Stegostoma tigrinum: one gene and its partner. The protein of the gene in region 1 interacts with the protein of each later gene in a pairwise test. Links are inferred from orthologs where the notes say so. Each region holds a gene or a part of one and is shown in the gene's direction. Other genes may lie near its edges. The genes, in order: coiled-coil domain-containing protein 158-like and gpsm1b.

What was found.
Region 2: the proteins of coiled-coil domain-containing protein 158-like (region 1) and gpsm1b interact in a two-hybrid assay, tested with the Homo sapiens proteins (2 studies listed by BioGRID and IntAct). The link is inferred for Stegostoma tigrinum from reciprocal best matches to the Homo sapiens genes CCDC158 and GPSM1.

Annotation. Positions count from the first base shown.
Region 1 is NC_081354.1:76,628,048-76,640,950, reverse strand, and holds the start of coiled-coil domain-containing protein 158-like, read left to right. Parts: upstream 1-7,489; 5' UTR 7,490-8,090; coding exon 8,091-8,202; intron 8,203-12,903.
Region 2 is NC_081382.1:38,894,467-38,907,616, forward strand, and holds the start of gpsm1b (G-protein-signaling modulator 1b), read left to right. Parts: upstream 1-7,407; 5' UTR 7,408-7,573; coding exon 7,574-7,737; intron 7,738-13,150. UniProt on the Homo sapiens protein: Guanine nucleotide dissociation inhibitor (GDI) which functions as a receptor-independent activator of heterotrimeric G-protein signaling.

The DNA of each region.
Region 1 (12,903 bases):
CCTTTTGTCCTTGTCTTTCCAGTTGAAAGGGAGTTCCAGGATTTGGAAAGTGCTGTCATAGCAGGCTTGACCAGGTGCTGCAGTGCATCTTGTACAGTGTATATTTTGGAGCTGGAGGAGCAAAGTAGGCAGGCAGCATCAGAGGAACTTTCCCTTCTTTAGAGCCCACTGTGCTCCTCCATCTCCACACTGTGTTATCTTTGACTCTAGCATAGGCAGTTCTTTTAATCTCTGCTATTGTTTCTTGCTTCCAGTAAAGAAGTTACCTGTCCTTTCCAGGTATGTCTACATCTTTACACAATGGAGCACTGTTGATGTGTCCAATTCTAAACCTGACAATGAAAATCTGAAAAATCTTGAACGTAGGATTTAAATCAGATTTTCCACTAAAATAGTACCATGGTTAGTTCAGAGATGTTGAAAATGTCCAATTGTTTCAGAGTAAACTTGTGCCATTTACATTCAATTTATGATGTAATTATTAAAAGCATCCTTGAGTAATTCTAACTGACAAACTTCAATTTCCACCCGTTATTTTGCCAGTAGTAACCCATTTTGTTTGTGTTGCACCAAAAGACACGTCAGAACATTTCCATTTCCGATCAAGGAAGTCCTTTGATGTAATATCCATTGTTCTGACTACCAGGCATTTTTAAAATCAGAACTGGTATTGTCTTGTGACCAATAAAAGTTATTTCAGAGACATCACAAAGTGCTGCATTATTGTAGTGCTACAGTATTGTTACAACCACTGCCTCGATGGTAAAACTATTATAGAAAAATAATTTCCTTTCAAAGCAACCAGATGTAGATTAATTTGTAATTCTTTTGTCCCTTTCTTCTTCTTTACTTAAAGAGTGCATCCAAAACATAAAACCATAATTGAATTCACTTCTATTCTGAATATCAACAGTAAATATATACAGAATATAATTAACAACTAAGAACAAAGAACAAAGAAATTTACAGCACAGGAACAGGCCCTTCAGCCCTCCAAACCTGTGCTGATTGAGATCCTCTGACTAAATCTGTCATCTATTTTCTAAGGGTCTGTATCCCTTTGCTCGCTGCCCATCCATGTACCTGTCCAGATATATCTTAAAAGACAGTATCGTGTCTGCGTCTACCACCTCCGCTGGCAACGCGTTCCAGGCATCCACCACCCTCTGCATAAAGAGCTTTCCACGCATATCTCCCATAAACTTTCCTCCTCTCACTTTGAACTCATGACACCTAGTAATTGAGTCCCCCACTCTGGGGAAAAAGCTTCTTGCTATCCACCTTGTCTACACCCCTCATGATTTTGTAGACCTTTTTTAATGTGCTCAAAGTTATAAATTCCCTCAAACTATCAGTACAGAATTTAATTTTAGACTGTAGTTATTATTGATGTATTGTATGTCTTGATAGCATTACTTTTAAAAATATGTTTCTGACATTTATCAAGTTATTTCCAGTTCCTTAACAGTCAATGACTGTCCTAGTAGATTCGCCAACGGTAGTAGATTCGCCAACGGTAGTAGATTCTCCAAACGGTAGTAGATTTGCCAACTTTAGGTACATTTAAGTCGTCACTGGACAAGCATATGGATGTACATGGAATGGTGTAGGTTAGATGGGCTTGAGATCGGTATGACAGGTCAGCACAACATCGAGGGCTGAAGGGCCTGTACTGTGCTGTAATGTTCTATGTTCTATGTTAGTGACATACACCTTGATATTTCACTGTTCTGAATCAAAACTAGAGATACAGGATACTGGTTTCAAGGAAATTTTCTGTGTGATTTTCACCTCAGTACACTCATGTTGTAAAAGAAGGCTATTTTAAAAAGTGTAGTCATCCTCAAGGAGTACCACAGTTGACCATTTCCAAGTCTGATAAATAACAATTAACCATCACTCTTAGTTTTCCATCTGAACCCAAAATAAACAACAGGAACTGCAACAGACAAATTTTGAATATTATTCAAATTAATATTGAAAAGATTGGAAAACATAAGTTTGGTGAAATCAAATAGAAATAAAATCTACAAATATGACCAGCAGGACGGGTGCATTAGAGGGGGAAAGGGCTGGAAGTGATGCAGGGGAGGTAGTACTGCTGGAGTTGGCTTTCCAATAGGAAACAGAATATTTATTGTTTTCTATAATTAATGACTTGATAACTAATTTACAGTTTCAAGGTGGACATTTCTTAAATCCCTACAGTTGTGTTATCAGGTTATTAATTAATTATGCTGACTTTATTTGTAAACAAAACTTGACTGAGATAAATACAGGATTTGTAAATGTGAACATCAATTATCAAGTTATTAATAATAAGCATCTCCTTTTTTTAAGTCATATTTGCACCTGAAGTCATTGTTTTTATATAGTTCTGTTTTCCTTGGGTACAGCACAGGGAAGGCCAAGACAATCTTTTCACCAAATGAAAGCAACAGAACAGGCCATTAGTGAACCAGTAAACCTAGATCTGTCAGTTGTCATTTTAAAGTCATATATTCAGTTGGTGGTTAAAACTATATATAATTAATTGGGAAGGGTCGCAGTAGATTGAGAAGCAGGCTGGGAGTTTTAAACCTGAGGCAAAACAGTATCACTGACAGCAGGATGTAATTACCTATGACAAATTGATGGCTGCAGCTTAAAAGAATAATAAGTCAACAAGGGTGGCATCGTGGCTCAGAGGTTAGCACTACTGCCTCACAACGGCAGGGACCCAGGTTCAATTCTACCCTTGGGCGATTGTCTGTGTGGAGTTTGCACGTTCTCCCTGAGTCTGCGTGGATTTCCTCTGGCTGCTCTGGTTTCCTCCCACAGTCCAAAGAGGTGCAGGCTAGGTGGATTGGCCATGCTAAAATGCCTATAGTGTTCAGGGATGTTTGAGTTAGACATGAGGAAATGCAGGGGTAGGGGAATGAGTCAGGATGGGGTGCTCTTCAGAGGGGTGTTGTGGACTTGTTAGGCTCAATGGCCTGTTCCCACATTGCAGGGATAGTACGATCTATGAAATGGAATTCTAACAGATAATGAAAAACTGAGCTTTTAGAAAGAGCCATAAGTTATCTTGGTTTGTGTTTTGGGGGTGAAAAATATTTGTTGACTTAATTTTTATTGCTGGTCATTGTTTTATTACACAAAGCAATAGGTTTTTGCTGCCACTTGAACTGGACAGTGATTGACTGGACTTTAGCAGAAGTTACCATTTGTCACAGAATTTCCATGGAACAAGATGTAATACTAAACTTAACAAAGAAATGATTTTTATTTCAAAAATATACTTTATTCATAAAAATATCTTCATATACATAATAAATATAGTAGTTCAGTTCCATACAGTGGCACATGATGAAACAAACAAACACTGCAGTTTGACTCTAATAATCTCATAACAAACAAACTCACTGCATTTCTTACATGTACAAGACTATATTTACATATACTTGAGGGACCTGGATAGTCAAATAACTTAATGGACTTCCATGTAGTTTCAGCAGAAAGACCTTAGAGAGTGGTCTTTTCCCACTGTGCCTTGGCAGCAACTACCCAAGCTTTAGTGCGTTTCTCAGCATGTAGTCCTGGGCCTTGGAATGTGCAAGCATGTAACACTCAGTTGAGGGCAACTCCTTGCTCTGGAAGACTAACAAGTAATCTAAAGAAAATTTATCTTACCTATTTCATCACGGACAAATTTCCATTTATCTAATACACACTGTCAGCATGCCCCAAAGCACTTCAAAACTAATTACTTTTACTGTGGTTAGGTTGGGAAGTACCACAATCATTTTCTATATAACACGGTCCAACAAACAGAAACTGAAATGTGTGACAATAATTCTCTTTGGAGGCCCAAATATTGTACAGAAGAATATCCACATCTTCTTTGAATATGTTATATATATATGCATTATGTAATCCCCAAACAGGCACAGAGGACATTGCTCTAATGACAAAGTCATTGCAAAGTTGATCTTCCCTGATCATCAAGTGGACATTCCTAACAAAATTTACTCAGTAAATAATTGGAATGTCTGTCAGTGAACAAAGCAGTGTAACAAGGAGAAAGATAGACAATGATGAATTAATTCAATCAGATCCACCATTATATAATTGAATGGCAAAAGAAATTTAATGGTCTAATCCTACTTCTAGTACATATGCAGTTTCAGTTGGAGATTTTGGTAGGAATTTCAATCTTTAGATTGTAAAATTAAACACTCTATGGGAGCAAATTGTCAATTATATTTTAAACTGTGATTAATCTCCAATTTCAGTATATTGTTTGTTTACAAATATTTATAAAAGTTGAGTTTTATGTCCCAATGATTAACTTAGTAACTACAAGATAAAGATATTGAGGCCTAAGAGAGGATGCAGAGAGATTTATCAGGATGACACCAGTGATGAGGGACTTTTGATGCATGGAGAAGCAGGGATCATTATTTCAATTGCAAAGTAATTTAAGGAGGATTAACATAGATAGCACTTCATGACCTCAGGGGTCTCTAAGAATTTAACAGCAATGAATTAATGATAATGGGAACTGCAGATGCTGGAGAATCCAAGATTACAGTGTGAAGCTGGATGAACACAGCAGGCCAAGCAGCATCTCAGGAGCACAAAAGCTGACGTTTCGGGCCTAGACCTTTCATCAGAGAGGGGGATGGGGTGAGGGTTCTGGAATAAATAGGGAGAGAGGGGGACTCGGACCAAAGATGAAGAGAAAAGAAGATAGGTGGAGAGGAGAGTATAGGTGGGGAGGTAGAGGTCAGTCCAGGGAAGACGGACAGGTCAAGGAGGTGGGATGATGTTAGTAGGTAGGAAATGGAGGTGCGGCTTGAGATGGGAGGAAGGGATGGGTGAGAGGAAGAACAGGTTAGGGAGGCGGAGACAGGCTGGGCTGGTTTTGGGATGCAGTGGGGGAAGGGGAGATTTTGAAGCTTGTGAAGTCCACATTGATACCATTGGGCTGCAGGGTTCCCAAGCGGAATATCAGTTGCTGTTCCTGCAACCTTCGGGTGGCATCATTGTGGCACTGCAGGAGGCCCATGATGGACATGTCGTCTAAAGAATGGGAGGGGGAGTTGAAATGGTTCACGACTGGGAGGTGAAGTTGTTTATTGCGAACCGAGCGGAGATGTTCTGCAAAGCGGTCCCCAAGCCTCTGCTTGATTTCCCCAATGTAGAGGTAGCCACACCAGCTTCTTTTCTCTCCATCTTCGGTCTGCCTCCCCCTCTCTCCCTATTTATTCCAGAACCCTCTCCCCATCCCCCTCTCTGATGAAGGGTCTAGGCCCGAAATGTCAGCTTTTGTGCTCCTGAGATGCTGCTTGGCCTGCTGTGTTCATCCAGCTTCACACTTTGTTAGCCAATGAATTAATGCTGGTTGCAATCACAATATGATATAAGAAATGTGTCTGACAATTTTCATATAGCAAGTTCCCAGAAACAGTAATGTAACAATGATCAACACCGTGTTGGTGGCATGTTGATCAAAGCGCAAATATTGGCCACAGCACCACGTGTAACTTTCCTTTCAAAATAGTTTTATGGGATCTTGTATGGAAAACTCCAAAAACATATGCAATCTTGGTTTAATGTTTCATTTAAAGTCAGCCCCTCTGACAATACAACTCTTTCAGTTCTGCATTGGGAGGTCATGGTATGAGTGAATTTTGGGAAAAATGCTGTACATTATTTGACTGCTTATGAAATTGTTTCTGATATCAATGCAGAAAAGAGTTATCTCAGAGTCAATTACATAAAGTTTTATGGATTATTCTTTCTTCAATTACAAGTAGTTGCAGATTCAACTGTAATCTTCAAAAAGAAATATGTGTGTGTTTGTGTGTGTATGTGTGTGAAGGAAACATTGCAGTACCATGGAAAAGGGTTGGGGAGTGTGGCTAATTCAATAGCTGTTTCAGAGGGGTAGTACAGCCATAATACGTTGAATAACTTCGTTCTGTGCCACACAAACCTGTAAATTCACAACATCACAGCAGTATCGAATCACTTGACGGTTTCCTTTGGTGAACATTTGTTTGTAATTCGACAGAAAACTATAGGAAGATTATAAATAAGGGCAATATTTCCCTGAGGACAGTTTTTCTATGACAGTGTATCACAAGGCTATAGTTCGTATGCATGAACCTTGGGAAAAGTGCTGTACGTTATCTGACTGCTCATGAAATTGTTTCTGATGTCATTGCAGAAAACAATTATTCCAGAGACAATACATACAGTTTTATGATTATTCTTCTTTCTTCAATTATAGCATTTAAGAGTAAGAAACATGTACAAGAATCATTCACATTTGCCTTACATAAAACCTTCAAAAGTGTGGCATCTGCTTTGATCAATCTGATTCCTCTACTCACTGGTACCAATCTGCAATGATCTATGAGGTAGTGGCATTTTCAGAGGCTAAAACCAGCATATTCAATGCCTTGATTTAACTGGGGATTGACCCATGACTATTAGGTGTTTTGCAGGTCCAGAATTTGCTGGAGTGAACTCCATTCATTAATGTTTATCCCAATCTTCAGCTCAAAATGTTGCTGCCCTGCAAATTACTGCGTTGTTAAAGGGGTACCTGGGACTTTGACAAACAACCGCACTGAGCCCTTAACTGATCAGATATACCAATGGTTACGGAATCAGAGAGATGACAAAGGAAGAAACTGTGATTTAAAATCAAGTCAAGAACGGAAATAGAAACATACAACGGGAAATAAAGATGACATTAATAGAGAACACAACGACAGAAAAGGTAAAACAATGAAAATAAATTCTGATTTAAAAACTTTAAGGATCAAATTACTACTTCCCGTAACGAGACTTAAACATTTCATATTTTCCCTTTCTAGACTAGACAATTATGAGAATATAAATCGTGGAATTACGTTGATAAGTACCAACCCTGATTTTCAGCGACAAATTTAATCTGTAACGAATATTTAATTATAGTAATAACTTGAAATTAACAAGGAGACAGTCATCCTTGTTATCATTTCCACATAACTATTAGCGGGAGAGTACATATCTTGGGGCAATTTCAGGTGATTCACAATTCACACCATTTCAGCTCTATGACAAAAACAATTGCTGTACAATTTACACTCCAGTAATGGCACATGCATTAAGCCTTCCATTGTTTTGCTAATTATCGACCAATCACAATAATTCGGCAAACAAATGTCAGAGTTCAGGCAGGATCATGGAGCAAATAAAAATGCTAAGAGTCAATGGGGTGTTGACCACTTGCCTCTACATTTCGCTTTCTAAAACGTAACGCCATCAAGAGCGCCAGAGATTCACCAGCATCCAAACATTAAGAGGCACCAGTTTCAATTCTTATTGCCCGTGATCATGATAGTTAATAGTCCAAATACGTTCCTCAAACCTCAAGGGATTTCCTACGTCAAATCTTCATGTTTTAAAGTGTTCAGCTGGGGGCCACGTTAGTGTTTTGTGGATGTATACAACACTTCCGCAAGGGCAGGTTAAGTGGCACTGCCACCTGCTTGAGCTGGGAATCCCTGCAGCGGCCGTCTTTTTGTGACGTCACAGCGGTTGTGGTTTATTTTTGGGGGGTCTATTGTCACTTCACAGAGCTGCTGGGCGTAGGAACGGCGGTTGCTAAGATACGAAGCGTTGGAAGCCCGTTGGCGTTCTGCCGCTTGTTCTCCCGCGGCAGCCGGTTCCCGGGGACTTTGGAGCGATCAGGCCAAGCGGCGGTGACTGACGCAGCAGGCGGGGGAGGTCCCCGGTGACCGCTCGGATAGAGCTAGAGGCAAGAAAGGCTTCTACTGTAACCAGGGGCGACAGGTGGCGTTTTAACCGAAGCCCTCCGAAACCTCCGTGTGCGCGCACAATTAGTCAACAGCTTATTTTTTTGTATTATCTTAAAGTCACAGTCTTATCCTAAATATATATTTTTTAGCTGAACTTGCTTGTTTTAAATAAATAATCACATAGATTCCTATATTTATTTACTGTAAATGCGTATTTTTCTAAGTCAGCCAACGTTAATGCCTCAAAAGTTTTTTTTATATAAAATCGCCTAAAGTTTATTTTTAAACAAAAAAATGTCCGTTTGTGAAACTGAAGCGGAGGAGAACCCAGCGCCCTGTGGCGATATTGCGGCACTGACCGGCAGATCGTCCCTCGATTTGTCAGCAGTCTCCAGATCGTTCGCAAGTGAGTATTTCGTGATGAACTCCCTGTGAGGACATTTTCTTTCACTTGTTTTAATTCACGCGGCGCTTTGTAAACCGAGGGTGAGCTGTGGGCCTGTCTAATCAGAGAGGGCGCTGCGACATGTAAATATCCATGTGCATGAGTGCTGGCTATTTGGATATTGTTCGGGTAGGAGGAGCAAAAGAGAAGCACTTTCTGTCTGAGGTAACAAAGTGTGGGGCTGGATGAACACAGCAGGCCAAGCAGCAAGTTAGGAGCACAAAAGCTGACGTTTCGGACCTAGACCCTTCATCAGATGCTGCTTGTCCTGCTCTGTTCCTCCAGCTCCACACTGTTATCTCGGATTCTCCAGCATCTGCAGTTCCCATTATCTCTGATCACACTTTCTGTCTGAAACCAGGCCGCAATTCTACAAAGCTTCTCAACGCCAGTTAGGATTAGGTGATAAATGCTGGCCCAAATCCCCTGATTGATTTTTTTTCTAGAAAAACTCTTGTGATCCTATGGAAGGCTGTAAGGAAAAGCTAGTGTTGGAGCGCTGCAGGTTTCCGAATTCTAGTGAGTGTACCTTCACTCCAAGCTTTTGTTTCTTACTACTCATTTTTTAAAAAAGAAACCAAGGTTTTCCTTTCACCAAGAGGCCGTGTCTGTCTTTTGAATGAGTCGTTAATTCACCTGGACCTCTGAGGCAGGTTTAATAAAGGGCAACCAGTACAGTTTTAAAGCAAATCGCAACTGACTGATTTGATTATATTTTTGAAAGTAGCAGAAAGGTTTGAAGAAGGTTGTGCAATAGATGTGCAAATATGTTTGGCCATTCTAAAAATAATTATGAAAAGGTAGCATGTAATGGATTTATTTTGAAAGGACTATGGTATGAATGTGCTTGTGGTGATTTGAAAGATTTATTCTAAGTGTATCTGCTCTCTAAAGTTGTGTTTTTTTAAAATCCCGGGATACAACCCAGCAGCTTCAAGAACATATCAGTCTTTAGTCCCATTAATTTGTGTAATCCATTTTCCGTAGTGATATTTATTGTGTTTATCCAGTCCAAACCCTCACTCCCTGCTTTTTTTTTGCTATGCTATTAGCACTCTCTACATTGAAGACGGATGCAATATATTTTCTCAACTCCTCTGCCGTTTCCTGGCACCCCATTAACATTTCCCCAGACTTGCTCTGTAAAGGGCCTATATTCACTGAGCCCCTCTATTCCGTTAGTCACATTTTTGTTTTTATGTTACTTGCTAGTTGCCCTCAGTTTATTTTCTGCACTTTTTTAATCATCTTCTGTTGGGAACATTTTGAATGCCAGTCTTCTGATTTACCACAAATCTTTTGGTGTACTGTTTCAAATTGAAATAAAAAAAATACAGTCTTTAACTTCCTTGGTTAATCATTATCGGTGTATTCCTTTCCTAGTATCAACTTTCCTCACCGGGATTATCTTTGCTGAGAGTCATGAACTTATTTTTAAAAATGTTTTCCCTTGTTCATCAACTGCCTTTTTCAGTTCAATTCCTCTTCCAGTCCACAGCAACCAACTTTGTTCTCAATCTCACAGAATTACTCTTATTGAAGTTTAGCACAGTTGTTTCTGGCCCAAGCTTCCATTTCTCAAACTAAATGCGACACTCTACCTTGGTACAGTCACGATTGCCAGGGATGTGTTGTCCTCAGATCATTTGTTAAAGTGGCCTCATTACTCATTATTAGATACAAAAGAGACTGATCCCTGTTTGGATCCATAACACACAGAACTTTAGGCCACATTCAGAATATTGTGCACAGTTCTGATACTCACATTCGCAGAACGATGTGGAGATTTTGTGGAGGATACAGAAATGGTTTACCAGGATGGTTTGGAGGGTATTAGCTATGAGGAGAGATTGGGAAAATGTGGTTTGTTTTGACTTAAATGCCAAAGGATGAGAGGTGGTCTGACAGGAGTTTACAAACTTGGTAGAGGCGTGGGTAAAATGGATAGTCAGAGCCTTTTTTTTTCCTCCCAGGGGTAGAAGTATTAATTGGGGATGTAGGTTTAAGGTAAAAGGGAATAAGTCTAAAGGAAATGAGAGGCAAATTTCTTCATGCAGATGGTGGTACCTTTCTGGAATGTTTTGCCAGAGGAAGTAGTGGAGGCAGATACAACATTTAAGAGTCGTCATGACAGATAGATGAAAAGGCCAGCAAATGAGAGATATCGACCGCATAGCAGCGAAAAGTACCCTGTGCCAGCACAGTCTTATTGGGCCACAGTCTTTTTTTATTGTTCTAGAAAACTGTCCCAAATGCACTTTGAATTTTTCCTCTCAGCCACTCTGCCAATTTGATTTTTCTCCAGTCTATGTGTAGATTAAGGTCTCCTATGGTTAGTACAGTGCCTTTTTACCTTCTGATTTATCCTCTGACCTATAGAACAATTACTGTTAGGCGGCATATAGACAACTCCTACCAGTGTCTTACTTATTCCCGTTCTATTTCTTACCTCCTCCAATCTGAATTCAATATCTTCTGATTCAAGGTAATTTCTTACCAATGTAGCAATTTCATCTCGTACTAATAAAGCCATCCCACCCCCACCCCTCCATTCTCTTCCCTTCCTGTCTGTTTTCTCGAAAGGTCGCATACCCTTGAATGTTCAATTCTCAACTTGGGTTTCCTTTTAAACCATAGCTCTGTAATGGTTATGAGATCGTAACCATTAATCTGTCTTTGTGCCATTAATTCCATGTGTTATGTTCTGAAAAGTATTCAAAGTAATGCAACAAGGGTAAAATATTAAGCATGAATTTTAATCTTTATTTAGAATAGATAAATCAAATTTTAAATTATAGTATGGAGGACAAGTTAATGGAATGCATATAAGGTAGTTTTCATGATCAATTTTTTTTGAGCAATCGATTTGGACAGAGAATTATTTACTTCTGGTATTATGCAACCAAAAAAAATCGGTAACTTGCAGTAAACCAATTTGAGGAAGAGTGATTACAACATGAGAGCTCAATGGTGAGTTTGAGTGATTTAGTTTTGATTGAAACTCTGTTCTTCAAACTGAGCAAAGCAAACTTAAGGAGCAATTGGGCTAAATCAGGTTGAGAAATATGATTAAAAGCTAGATGACCGTTGGCAAAAATGTAAATAAAATTAGTTGTTGCAGAAAACTTAGATTGCCTGAACAATTTAAAACCTCATGGAGGGGTGGGGATTCAACCAATGACAAACCTACTACTTTAACTTTTCACTCACCAGAGATTTATAATGTTGCCAGGAAGACTTGTAAGTCTAGGATTCAGTTTTCCTTATTTTATAGCTACAAAGGATATTTGAGATGAATAAGGAAAGTAAGAATGGGATATGAAAATACACTAGTAAGAGAGAAGGAAAACAGATTGTTAAAGACTTTCATTGGTTAACTGAAAGAAAGCACTAATTTAAAGGTGAACTCACACCTCTTCCACATTTTTTTTCAAAATGAATGAATCCTGTAGACACAATAGGTACATCCCTAATGGCAAACCGTAACAATGGAATTCCCTTATCCCAGTCATGATCTGTAATCATGCTTTAATGGTTGATGCCAGGTTTGCAATGTTCCTTGAGATTGTGGTTGATTAACTAAAGATATAAATAAGTTTATTCCCAAAATATTATTCCTTTGACCATTTGTGACATTAAATTTAATCCTTGGTACAATTGTTATTTTTGAGTAATTCACATCGCGTTCCTAAAAAAAGGTTTCCAACACCATTTTTGCTGTTTCTTTTGCAAAAGCCACTGCCTCAGAAAGTCTGTTGAAATGTTAAAAGATACTGATGCCCAATTCTATTTTTAGATTGGGGTCCTTCACAAATTAGTAAGATTTGCTAAATAGGTTTTCAAAAGCTTATGTTAGATTTAAACGCATAAGTTTAGTTGGCTAATATTTCCCCCACAACAAAACAAATGGGTGGCATGGTGGTGCATTGGTTATCACGGCAGCCTCACAGCGCTAGGGATCTGGTTTCGATTCCATCCTCAGGAGACTGTCTGTATGGAGTTTGCACATTCTCTCTGTGTCTACATTCTCTCATGGCCTGGTTCCACACTGTAGGTATTCTATGATTCTGAATCTGCCTGGTAAAACTTGACTATGTTAATGTAATCCTGGTCAATCAATCTTTTAGTATTTTAGCCTACATTTTCCTGATACATAAACTGGAGTTTGATTAGTTTTAAACTGAATCCTAGCTGCTACTAGTGATGAAATTCAGATTTACCTCCTTTGCTTGTAAATTAATAATTCAGACATTTATCGCATTTATCGAGATCCTGTTTTTCTTAATTCATTATTTCTCTCAGTTTAGCTTTCGTCAAAGATTTCAATTAATTCATTGTTAAATGATTTAAATGGCGGAGTGGACTTGATGGGCCGAATGGCCTTACTTCCACTCCTATGTCTTATGGTCTTATGGTCCTAAATTTTCTACCGCAAGAAAAATCTTTGGAACAGTCAAATTTATTTTGAAATTCCAATCTTTGTACTATACTTCCCAACAAGTCCTGCTTTTGTGCACAGTATCGTCATGCACTCGATTCTTTACAGATCTTCAGTGGTTTTCTCTCCCAGAGCTCCTACTTTGTATCCAGCTGATGGTAATACTAGAAAAGTCAGATTCTAGAGTGAATCGTGGCTTATTAGAACGTAAGTTTTTTGTTTTG
Region 2 (13,150 bases), on another chromosome or scaffold:
TTGGGAAGTTAAGCCAAGTCCCATCTGCCACATTAACGTAAGTGGGAATAAATCCAACGCCACTACTTTTAAGAAGAATGCAGGCTTCCTTCCTTAAATCCTGGTCAATATTTATCCTTCAAACAACACTTGAGAAACAGATTGTCTTGTCTCTGCTACCACATTACTTTTTTTTGATATTTATAAATTGGATATGGGGCATCACTGGTTAGACCAGGGTTAATTGCCCATTCCTGGTTGACCTGGACGTTAGTTAAGGTTTTTGATTGTGGCAAATCGCTGTGAGCAGCCCCCTACAGTACAATAGTGACAATGTATATCAGTGCTTCATTGGCTGTAACGTACCTTGAGATGTTAAGACTTTAAGGAGCAAAAGTAGGCCACTTCGCCCATACAGTCTCAATGAGATTGTGTCAGATCTGAGCATCCTCAACTCCACTTTCTTGCCTTTTCTCCATTAGACTTGATTCCCTTCTTGATCAATAATCTGTGGCACGTCAGCTTTGAACATGCTTAAAGACCATGAACGTACCCGACAGCCACTGCCGAAAACTAATTTTGGATTCTGTCTACTTTCTGGGAGAAGAAATTCTTCCACATCTATATCAAATGGAAAACCCCTCTATTCTGAGATGATGCCTTCTAATATAGACTCTGCAGCAAGTGGAAATGGCCCTCCTCATCCACCTTGCCAAGCTGCTAGGGGGATTGTGATGGTGCTCCTCGTCAAGTTGGTCACGAAAGGCACTGCATAAATGTATTTCATAATGTTTACACTCCTTTCTCAATCCCATTTATTAGTATTCTTGCTCTCCTATCAGGGTCTCCCGGGCATATTCTGCATGTACTCTATATGGCACCATTCATGATCTTGATCAATTCCAAAGCGCTACTTGGCAAATCAAGTATTTTTGGAATGCAGCTGTTGTTAAATTGTAGGAAGTGAAGTTCCCACTTTGCGTGAAGTGAACTCTGTCAAACAAAGTGTGATGCTGGCCAGTGATAATGGGAACTGCAGATGCTGGAGAATCCAAGACAATAAAATGTGAGGCTGGATGAACACAGCAGGCCCAGCAGCATCTCAGGAGCACAAAAGCTGATGCTTCGGGCCTGGACCCTTCTTCAGAGAGGGGATGAGGTGAGGGTTCTGGAATAAATAGGGAGAGAGGGGGAGGCGGACCGAAGATGGAGAGAAAAGAAGATAGGTGGAGAGGAGAGTATAGGTAGGGAGAGGATAGGTCAGTCCAGGGAAGACGGACAGGTCAAGGAGGTGGGATGAGGTTAGTAGGTAGGAGATGGGGGTGCGGCTTGGGGTGGGAAGAAGGGATGGGTGAGAGGAAGAACAGGTTAGGGAGGCAGAGACAGGTTGGACTGGTTTTGGGATGCAGTGGGTGGAGGGGAAGAGCTGGGCTGGTTGTGTGGTGCAGTGGGGGGAGGGGACGAACTGGGCTGGTTTTGAGATGCGGTGGGGGCAGGGGAGATTTTGAAGCTGGTGAAGTCCACATTGATACCATTGGGCTGCAGGGTTCCCAAGGTTGCAGAAAAGCCAGGCCCCAAGATGACTTTCCACATTAAGCAGAGGTTCACCTGCACATCTGCCAATGTGGTATACTGCATCCACTGTACCTGGTGTGGCTTCCCCTACATTGGGGAAACCAAGCGGAGGCTTGGGGACCACTTTGCAGAACACCTCCGCTCGGTTCGCAATAAACAACTACACCTCCCAGTCGCAAACCATTTCCACTCCCCCTCCCATTCTTTAGATGACATGTCCAACATGGGCCTCCTGCAGTGCCACAATGATGCCACCCGAAGGTTGCAGGAACAGCAACTCATATTCTGCTTGGGAACCCTGCAGCCCAATGGTATCAATGTGGACTTCCCCAGCTTCAAAATCTCCCCTTCCCCCACCGCATCCCAAAACCAGCCCAGTTCGTCCCCTCCCCCCACTGCACCACACAACCAGCCCAGCTCTTCCCCTCCACCCACTGCATCCCAAAACCAGTCCAACCTGTCTCTGCCTCCCTAACCTGTTCTGCCTCTCACCCATCCCTTCCTCCCACCGCAAGCCGCACCTCTATCTCCTACCTACTAACCGCATCCCACCTCCTTGACCTGTCCGTCTTCCCTGGACTGACCTATCCCCTCCCTACCTTCCCACCTATACTCTCCTCTCCACCTATCTTCTTTTCTCTCCATCTTCGGTCCGCCTCCCCCTCTCTCCCTATTTATTCCAGAACCCTCACCCCATCCCCCTCTCTGAAGAAGGGTCCAGGCCCGAAACGTCAGCTTTTGTGCTCCTGTGATGCTGCTGGGCCTGCTGTGTTCATCCAGCCTCACATTTTATTGTCTGTGATGCTGACCAGACTTGCTTGTCTAATGTTGATTGAGGAATGAATATTGACCTGGACCCTGAGAGGACCTCTGCTCCTCTTCCAAAATACTGCCTGCAGAAACTCTTACATCTGAGGCTGTACAGGACATCGGTTAGGTCACTTTTGGAACACTGTGTTCAATTCTGGTCTCCCTGCTATAGGAAAAATGTTGTTAAACTACCAAGGGTTCAGAAATGATTCACAAGGATGTTGCCAGAGTTGTTGGAGGGTTTGAGCTGATAGAGAAAGAGCTATAGACTCAGGGTATATTCCCTGGAGTGTCGAAGACTGAGGGGTGGCCTTATAGAAGCTTATAAAATCTTGAGGGGCATGGATAGGGTCAGTAGTCAAAGTCTTTTTTGCCAGGGTCGGGGAGTCCAAAGCTAGAGTGCGTGGGTTTAAGATGTGGGGGGAGGGGAAAGATTTTAAAGGGACCTAAGGGACAACTTTTCCACGCAGAGGGTAGTTCATGAGCTGCCTAGAAATTGGAGGAAGCTGATACAATTGCAGCATTTAAAAGGCATCTGGATTGGTTATATGAATTGGAAAGGTTTCGAGGGATATGGGCCAAATGCTGGCAAATGGGACTATGTTAATTTTGGATAAGTGGTCGGCATGGATGAGTTGGACTGAACTGTCTGTTTCTGTGCTGTATATTTCTATGACTTTGAGAGCAGATGGGATCTGGGAATAGCATCCTATCTCTCAGATGGTGGCCCTTTTTTTTTGTCTGGATTGTGACTGTAAGTGCTGAGAGAACTGGGGGATAACTCTCTGAGCAGGCAAAAAGTAGGTCTGTGAAACCAGCTAAAGACATTCCTAGATAACAGAAATGCCCCTTCCTTAGCCACCTCCTTTGGGAAGTTGGCTGGCCTCCACTCCCAGTAGTATGAAAGATGTGTTGCACTTTATTTTGCTGTATGAAAATGCCCTGAAGTGAGCACAAGTAGAGTTGTCTTCAATTTCCAATGATAAACCCTAGATCTTGATTCCTGGAAAAGCCTTGAGCAGATAATTTGGAAACAAATCTTGTGGCCAACACAGCCTGAACAAAGGCAGTTAATTATTGTATCAGTTGTTGCAGATGCTGTATTTATTCCATTTCAGCATAATCTTTTTGGATATTAAGTTGTTTAATTTAAGGTCAAAATGTACACCAGGGAGGGGCTAAGTGGAAAAATGGGGCATGACCTATTTGTGGTAATTATCCTTACTGCATTTGGGGTTTTGCTGCATCAAATGGGGCATGACCTATTTGTGGTAATTATCCTTACTGCATTTGGGTTTTGCTGCATCAAATGGGGCATGACCTATTTGTGGTAATTATCCTTACTGCATTTGGGTTTTGCTGCATCAAATGGGGCATGACCTATTTGTGGTAATTATCCTTACTGCATTTGGGTTTTGCTGCATCAAATGGGGCATGACCTATTTGTGGTAATTATCCTTACTGCATTTGGGTTTTGCTGCATCAAATGGGGCATGACCTATTTGTGGTAATTATCCTTACTGCATTTGGGGTTTTGCTGCATCAAATGAACAACTATTGTTTATATTGTCACCATTAACAGTGTGGTAAACCAATCCACCAGCAGCTTCACAACATTAATTTCTAGGAAAAGTAGTTGATTCCAAACCATGGAAGATATCAGGTAATCAAAAAGCTTGATCAGAGAGCTAGGTTTCAGCGTGCGTCTTTAAGGAAGCGGGAAGAGAGGGAGTCTGGACCTTGGGATTTAGGTACTTGAAGGTACATGAATGTCAAAATGCAGTGACGTGAGTTGGGGTTTGCAAAGAGAGACAAAAGTCTTCGAAGGTTATAGGTTGCAGCAGATTGTGGAGACAGAAAAGGGCAAAGTTGAACATCAAAGCTGGTCACTGGACCAGCATTAACTCTGTGTTTTCTCCCTCGACAGATGCAGCCAGACCTGCCGAGGGGTTTCCCTCAATTTTTGTGTGTTTCAGATTTCCAGCATGTGCATTTCTTTGTTTTGTTATAGTTAAGTTGCACTTTTTATCTACAAATAATTTGAACAATGAATTTTGCATTGGTTTTGGAATGCTGAGTTGAGAACTGTCATGCTGGAGACCCAGCATAATCGAAAGGCTGGTGTTGGTTGACACTTTTTGAGGCTCTGCCCACATAAATGGCAGTCTTGATGGGCTAATTATGTTCTCTCATGCGATACATGCAGTACCTTTTTGATCTGGGCACAGCAGTCAGTGCGCTGGAGGCAGGAGCATTTGCTAAGATGCCATGAAAGGCATGTCTTTGCACAGTTGAGGTTTGGAGTTCAACCACTTGATTTGAGTGTCATTTAATAGCGATTGTTGTGTAACAACTACTCATTTTGTTTAATGTGAACTGACTGCTGTTTCTGGCACTTAATGCTGAAATTCTTTACTAGTTATTCAACAAATCCTACTCAACTACTCTACGAGGAGGAATTTGAAGGACTTTCACAAGCGTTATCAACATACCTTTAGCTGATTAGCCATCATCAATGCTGTACCATGTTCCAAAGAGAGCTTTTTTTTCATGGAATTACCTCCTGTGGAGAAGGATAATTGATATTTGCTGGGAGTAAAATGACCGAGAAAGAGTACAAAAGACTATTTTTAGTTTTAAAAACTCTTCTCAAGTTTGTATATACAATGAATGCAGTCTTCATCTAAGGTATTGAACTATGGATTCAAGCTTTTACTACTTCCTTCAAAAAGCAGAAAAATCAATGGCCTTTATTAGAAATAACAATGGAAAAGTTAAAACAGAGTGAAAAGCATAAAAAATGTAATAAAGCTAGTTTGGCAGTGAAACATGGTGCTGCAAGGAGTATTTGAAGCAAATAATTAAGATATGGGGCAGCTGATGGATATTTTTGTTGGTGGGGCAGCACAGTGGCTCACTGTTAGCACTGCTGCTTCATAGCATTGGGTCCTGGGGCCGAATCTAGCCTCGAGGGACTGTCTGTGTGGAATTTGCACATTCTCTGTGTGTCTGTGTATGTGTCCTCCGGGCTCCAGTTCCCTCCCATAGTCCAAAGACATGCAAGTTTGAGTAGGTTGTCGATGAGAAATTGCCCATAGTGTCCAAGGATGTGCAGGTTAGGTGGATTAGCTATGGTAACTGCAGGGTTACAGGGATAGCTTAGGAGGGTAAGGCTGGGTGAGATGCTGTTTGGAGGGTCAGTGTGGGCTCAGGCTGAATGGCCTGCTTCCATAGTGTTAGGGATTCTAGGATTTCTATGATACGTTTTAGTGGAAGCTAGATGCTTGCTACAAGGTGAAAAGAATTGAAGAATCGGCTCATGGATCTTGATTAAGGAAACATTAGCATGAACTGAATAGCATGTTTCTGTGCTAGAAATACCTGTATTAAAGATTGAAGTGAGAAGAATATTAGAATTTAATTATTTGTTTGGAGATGGTTGTGGCTTTTAACTTAACTGCTTTCCATCTTGTTTCCTGGTGAAGATGAAAACTTTGAAAGAGAAGCGAGAAGCACACAGCTGATGCCAAGTCAGAGCAACAACTGTGATCTCTCGCTCGCTCTCTCTCGCTTCCTTTCTATTTTCTTTTGGATACTCATCCAAATCAGTCACACTGAAATAATGCCAGATAGTGATGAGGGCTGTTGCTAAGCTGCACCTCATTGTTGCTATGTCAATGACGTTTATTTAGCATGTTATTTGAATCACCTTCTTGTCTGCTTTTCAGGGCTGTGATTTCCGGCACTAGCTTCCTAACATCTTGTTCCCTTTAAATACATATATATATCTGAGGAAGAAAGGAGTAGATGATTATTGCAGGTTTAGATGAAGAAAGATGGTATTAATGCTCTACTAAACACAGCATGGACTGGGAGGGCTGAATGGCCTGTTTCTGTGCAGGTAGCATACACTTTGTGTTGCGACCTCTGGTGTTGATGTTAAATGGTTAATTTACTTCTAACTTTTCCTTGATTATTAGGATGAATTATCCTGCTGATTTGAGCAAAACTATGTTCTATTAAGACTGCAAAACATCTGAAAATGACTGACAAGGAATGACTCGCTGCATCAGAGCGGTCCATTATTCAAGATGCCTACGCTTCCTATTTCCACCCACACCATGTCATCTGTGGGAGGCAAAAGTTGTGGGGGGAGGGGTTCAGTGGGAATAGCATCAATAGGAGTTGTAGTTACCCAAAATTGTTATCTGATCCCTTCGTATCAGAGGCCAAAAGAACCTTTGCTCTATCAGCAAACCAATTCATGATGCCATTCAGAGAGGTTGCTATGTTGCCTGCAAGCCACTGGGTAAGACCAATGTCTGAGAGGCAGAATTCAGTGAATGGGTTTGAGTAGGATTGATAGATTCCATTTCAAGATCCCACATAAGTTGAATTTCACGTCAATCATCCATTCTCCACCATCAGTTGCCTGCCTACCAACACCACCCCCCCCCCCCCCCCCAATCCATGCCCACCTTGAACCAACCACCAGGCTCTTGTGTATTTCATGAAACAGCAATTCCAAAAAGATGGCTTGTGGTAACTTTGGCTTATGTGTGAGCCCTTTGAGTCTGCTCCGCCATTCAATAAGATCACAGTTGATCTAATTGCAACCTTAAGCCCCTATTCCAGTCTATCCCAAAAACCTTTCAAACCCTTACTTAACAAGAATCTCTCGAGCCCTGGCCTAAAAATGTGCAAAGATTCTGTCTCCTGTATCTTTCTTCCTAAGACTTGGCATTTCTTCAGTATAATTTTTCTTGGCCTAATCTTGTTGCAAGTTGCTGCATGCAGATGCTGAGCTGGTAATCCGAGGGTTAACGGACACAAAGCTGATGCTGGCACTTTGCTGAATTATAGAGGATTTCTTTAGTAGCATTAGTTGGACGATGACAGCTGTGAGTCGTCATCTGTTACGTTGGGTGAGTCCATACACTCTCGTTTGAGCTTCTTGGTCAGCAGTGGTGTTCGTACATGGATAAATTGTTCCAGGAGACTGCCTGTTTGCTATAGAGGTGAGATAGAGCGGGCAACAACAATTCAATGTCAATTTTGTCGAGATTAAATTGGCTTTGTGCACCGTTGTCACCTTGTGTTCACTGTGAGTACAACTTCTGAGTTGAGAGACAGCAGCATGTATGTGTCTTGAATTTGCGTGATCTGGATATTGATCCTGTGCTCTTCATGGAGCGTTGCTTCTGCTACAATGCCAACATTACAGTTCAAAACTCAACCTTTGGGGTTCAACATGGCAGAGATGGCGGTTTCCAGACTTGTCCATCCTGGAGCAAGGCCTCGCGCTGTCCTGCTGCCAGTCAGCCTGGAGTTGTGGTTCTATGTCCAAAAGATTAAGAACATGCAAAAGAAAAGGTAAAACTGTTCTTTTTTCCTCTAAATTTTTTTTAAAAATACACATTCAAGTTAATATCTATCAGTACATATCTGTGGAAAGTTATCACTTCAACCTGAACTTTGCAGCAACAAGTATCTATGGGATGAATAAGGTTTTCAATGGGTTAAATCATTGGTTGTGATTTTTCACACACTGATGCCAAGTGCCACCAGTAATATCAGGAATTGAGATAACTTCCCTCTTTATTTCCTTCCTTCTCCACCCCGCCCCCCCCCCCACCTCTCTCTCTTTTTCCCCACCCCACCCCCATGTGTATGTATGTGCTGCTGAGAAATCTAGATCAGGTCTAGTGTTTGCCATGTACATAACATTAAGTTTGCAAAGAGCTAGAAGTGCAATTGGATGCTATGTTCATGTTGAGATATTTGTAATTGCTGGGGGCAGGGCAGCATGATGGAGTTCAATGGAGTTCAATCCTCTTCTTACTTGCTTACACTGCATATCTTTTGAAGAAGCAGACTCGTGATAATTTATCCAAAAAAAACCCAATCTCTTGGCTGTGGCACCACATAGGATGTTAGTGATGACGGTTTCTTCAATTTACCACTCAATTAAGTGGAAAATCCAAGCTGACATTCCCAAGTATGGACCTAAGGGAGTGCTGTGCTGTCAGATGGGCTCTTGTTCAAATGAAACAATGAACTGAGGGGCCGTCCATGTTGCTGAGAAGACAGGCAGGTTTTCCCTGGGATTCTACCTGATCTCAAACCAATTGGTCACTCACGTTACCATGTACAGGAACTTGATGAGTGCAAATTGACTGCTGCATTTCCACAGTGTGTCCATTTCAAACAAATGCTTAATTTGCTGTAAACTCTTTGGGCCATCCTGAAGTTACTTGAAAGTGCAAGCTGTTCCTTTTTGTCAAAATGTAAAAATCTGAAATTATGTCTGAAGTAAGTACCAAAGGAAGACTTAACATATACCTGTCTAAAATGCCCAAGCTTATGGTCACAGCCAAGGTATGATAGATTTAAATGGGATAACATATCTTATCTTAGATGGTTGCTACGGTTGCACTTCAAGCCTGAAATGAGTTAGTGTGGATTAGGATTTCCGGCTTTCTCGTCTAACCAGAAGAATTTTGTGACCACCACTCGGAAATGGCGCCAGTCACTGCTCACTGCGTTTTTGGCAGGGACCCACCATTGCCACCATGTTGCGTTTGGGTTCCATCAAGTTCAAAGTGATGAAGTGTGGAATAGGATATCGACCATTCTGTTCTAACTGCAAGAATTTTGTTGAGTGAAGAGCTTGAAATTTACTGCAATGTAGTGAGTATTTACAGCTTACATGAATATGACCTGCATTGTTGCAGAGACTTGGAGGAGCACAACAGCACTAGGTCTGCCTCCTATGAGCTGCTTCCTCACCTGGACCAAGTCCTCATGACATTATTATAGGTTGTCTTTAGTTCCATCTTAAAGAAGTTGCAGGCAACTCCAACCAGAAAGTTTTATAAATGAGTTTGCCCAGATATCCCACAATACCAAAGTGGTCAAATAAATATGGACAGAAGCCAATACCAAAGTAAAATGCTTCCAACTTTATTAAGAATAAAGTTACAATAATCTTTAATACTAAACTTATCTTTAATACTATTTGGCCCCTTAAGTTTACAATACTCTGAGTCTTTAATAGATTTACACAGTTTCTCTGTCTCTGAGTCTGCCCGGCTGCGTTCTTCCTCTCTGTCTGGATGGTTAGCTGGCCTCTGTGTCTTGCCATGCTGGCCGCCTTTTCAGAAGGCCTTAGATGATTCCAACAGCAGTTCCAACAGAGAAAGTTGTAGGTGAACCCTGCTTTTATACCTTTTTATGTGGCTTTCTGGAACTTCCTGTAGTTCTGGCCAATCAGGGACTCAGACTTAATAGTTTCAATCAAGAGTCAACAATTTAGATGGCATGCTGCTGTGTGTTTCTTGTGTAGCAGGACCCGGTGTCTTTCTGACTGGGCTCTCTGTTTAGTGGAAAAGCTGTTGGATATGTCTGTCCAGAATAACTGTTGCTTTTTACATTATGCCAATGTCATTAGCACTTGGCTGCTGTGTTTGCAGTGTGTCTGAGATGTGGATTTTGATTTCAGAGTTTTACTTGGCCAGTGTACCCAGCATCCCTTGCTGTTTGGTCAAGTTCGCAATCTGTCTGTGTGTTTTAACAGCCAGGAGACTGCTCAGTGATCTAACTGCACGCAAACAAATATTAACCCTTTCAGACCCGCAGACAGCAGTGGTAACCTGCAGCCCAAATAGTCTCACTTTAGCGACTTTGACATTTCTCAGTAAATCATCACATGGCACTAATTGCAGGACCTGATTGTAAAGATGTACTGGTAAGCTGAAACATAGATACAGGATAACATGCTGTGTCGCAGTGAATAATCACGTATAAGAGTGCGCAATTTCAGGTAATTTCAGAGCAATTTCTTTAACCCACCGACTATTGTAGGAAAAGAAAGACAAGTTTTTTTTTTCATTCACAGGAGATGGGCATCGCTGGCTGGTCCAGCATTTATCACCCAACCTTACCTGGTGGTTAATTGCCACCTTAAACTGCTGTCGTACATCGGATGAATGCCCAAAGTGCTGTTAATGACTCAGTGCAGGGTTTTGACCCAGTGATAGTGAAGTAACAAGAATATTGTTTCAAATCAGGATGGTGTCTCTTTGAGGGGAACTTGCAGGTGGCATTTCTTCCATGTGTCTGGAGCAGTTCAGCTTCTGTTCAGCGGTAATCCCCAGAATGTTGACAGTGTAAGAATCTGCAATGGCAATGCCATTGAACCAAGGTTTAGTTTAGCTCGTTGGATCATGCCATTGCTTGGCACTTATTTGGCATGAATGTTACTGGCCACTTTTCAGTTCAAGCCTGAATATTGTCCCAGCCAGGTTGTATTTGGACGTGGACTACCTCAGTCTCTAAGGAGTTGCAAGTGATGCTGAATGTTGTTCAATCATTAGTAAATATCCCAACCTTAGACCTTGGAAGTTCATTGAAGAAGTTACTAAGGGTGTTTGGGCCTAGGGCATTACCGTGAGAAAGTCCTGCAGAAATGTCATTTGGGTATGACTAACCTCCAACAATCATAGCCATCTTCTTTTGTGCAAGGGTGTGATTCTAACTAGCAGGGAGTTTTCCCAGTGCTTCCCATTGATTCTGAGCTCCTTAGTGCTATACTTGGTCAAATTCTGCCTTGTTAAGGATAGTCCCTTTCCTTTCTCCTCTGGCGCTCAATTCCTTTTTGCACATTTGTACAAGTCAACATATAGGCTTAAATTAGGCCATTGCCATGGGCAGGGATGGAGCCTGAAAATAGGCAATGAAGTTTGGTATAGAGATCAAAAGCAATGCTTTCAGTCTTTCCAATATTGTATTGGAGGAAGTGCTTGTTGTCCAGTAATGACTGACTTGAAAGTACAGAGATAGGAAGAGTGTGGAGCAGGAGAAAGACAGAACAAGAGAAGAGATCTGTGACATACATACAGGATTTACAAACTGACATGTGCTGGTCATGGTGTATGACAAACGGCAGTCCGATAGCTTGAACAAGTACATAACGAAGGAGTTGAACTCCAGAGGAGAAATGAGAGTTTCTGCCCTTGATGTTAGGACAGGGTTTGACAAAGTATGTCATCAAGCAGTGGGGAAACAAAAGATAGGTTTGGAGGAGATACATTGAAAGCAAAGCCACTTAACATGAGCACGTCTCTCAAAAACAGTGGTTATGATCAGACCTTAATGAGCTCCATAGGGAAGGTTGTAAAACGTTTATTCAAATGATGTGATGCTGTTGTGCGAGCTTACATCGGAACATCAGGAGGTAAAGGGCAAAGAAGAGTGGAAGTGGATTTGAGAACTAAAATGCCAAATGATTGAATGTTCAGGGGCACATTGAAGGCAAGTGCCCAGCCAAATGATCAATCAATCTGTTAGTCCAATAAGGAGAAGAATGTAATTTGAGCAGCAAACACCATGTTCCAAAGCCGCCTACCTGGTTGTATTTATAGCCTTTTATGTTTGAACCATAGTAGCTACTTGCCAATAAATGGCTTCTTTCAAGTACAACCTCAGGATTGATTTACACTTCCACTTGTTTTCTTGCTGAGTCTTTGCATGGAGCCAAGTTTTAAGGAAAATCTTGGTAAGCCTGGAGCTGCACTCTGGGTTGCTCTGGTGATGTGATCTTCTCAGTGTGCTCCTTAATTTGATGCAATTGAACAACTTTCTTTTGTCATTTCAACTTGTTTGTAGCCAACTTTTATTCATTCAGATACAACTTGTATTCTTAGTGCATTTCTGACGGGGTCCTGAGGCAATTCTGCAGTCAAACTTCCCAACCTCCTTACGTGACATGTAAAACAATCTCTCAACTGTTGAAAATAGTTTTGGGGTTATAATTAACTCTTTGCAAGTAAAGGTATTTTTGAGAATGTGAGGCTATAGTCTTCAAAAACTGTGTTATTGGACTCTGCCCAGTTACTAATTATTTCCTTCTTGAGTGCTGTGTGTGCTTTTACCGTGAGATTTTTACAGGGTAAGTCGCCTTATGACACTAGACAAGAAGAACGGTCTACTCAAGGCCAAAAATGGAGACTGAAAATTTACCTGAGACTGTTCGGGAAGTAAGTAAGCCCTCCAGCTAGTCAGAAGACAGTCTCAGGAGAGGCTATGGCCTAGTGGTAGTAATTCCTTGCCTCCCTCGATCTGAGGAAGGGTCACTGGACCCGAAATGTTATCTCTGATATTTTTCTTCACAGATGATGCCAGACCTGCTGAACTTTTCCAGCAACTTTTGCCCAGAGACTTTTCCCCAGGGCGGGATTGACTGCAACAAGGTGTCATAGTTTTAAGGTGTTAGGAGGAAGGTTTAGAGGAGACGTCAGAGGGAGGTTCTTCGCCCAGAGAGTTGAGTGCATGGAATAGTTTACCAGTGGTAGTCATGGAAGCGGAGTCATTAGTGACATTTAAGCGACTGCTGGACGTGCACATGGACAGCAGTGAATTGAGGGGAATGTAGGTTAGGTTATTTTATTTTTGGTTTAGGATTATTCCACGGCACAACATCGTGGGCCAAAGGGCCTGTACTGTGCTGTACTTTTGTAAGTTCTATGTTCTAACTTCTGTTTTTACCTCTGGAATTACAGTCCAGAGATTAGTACTCAGTGGCAAAGCTCCTCCAAGGATTGGAGGTGACAGTGGATTTTTCAAGATGGTGGCCACAGCAAGGTGACATCTCAGAGGAAGGCAGCCGGAGCAGGACTCTTAACGAAGCAGTGGCCTGGCCTGGCAACAGATCCAGGGACTGCTGGTTGTACTGGGCCCAGAGTGGGGCCTCCTGGCATTGGCAGGGCGGTGGCTGCAGTATGGCGTG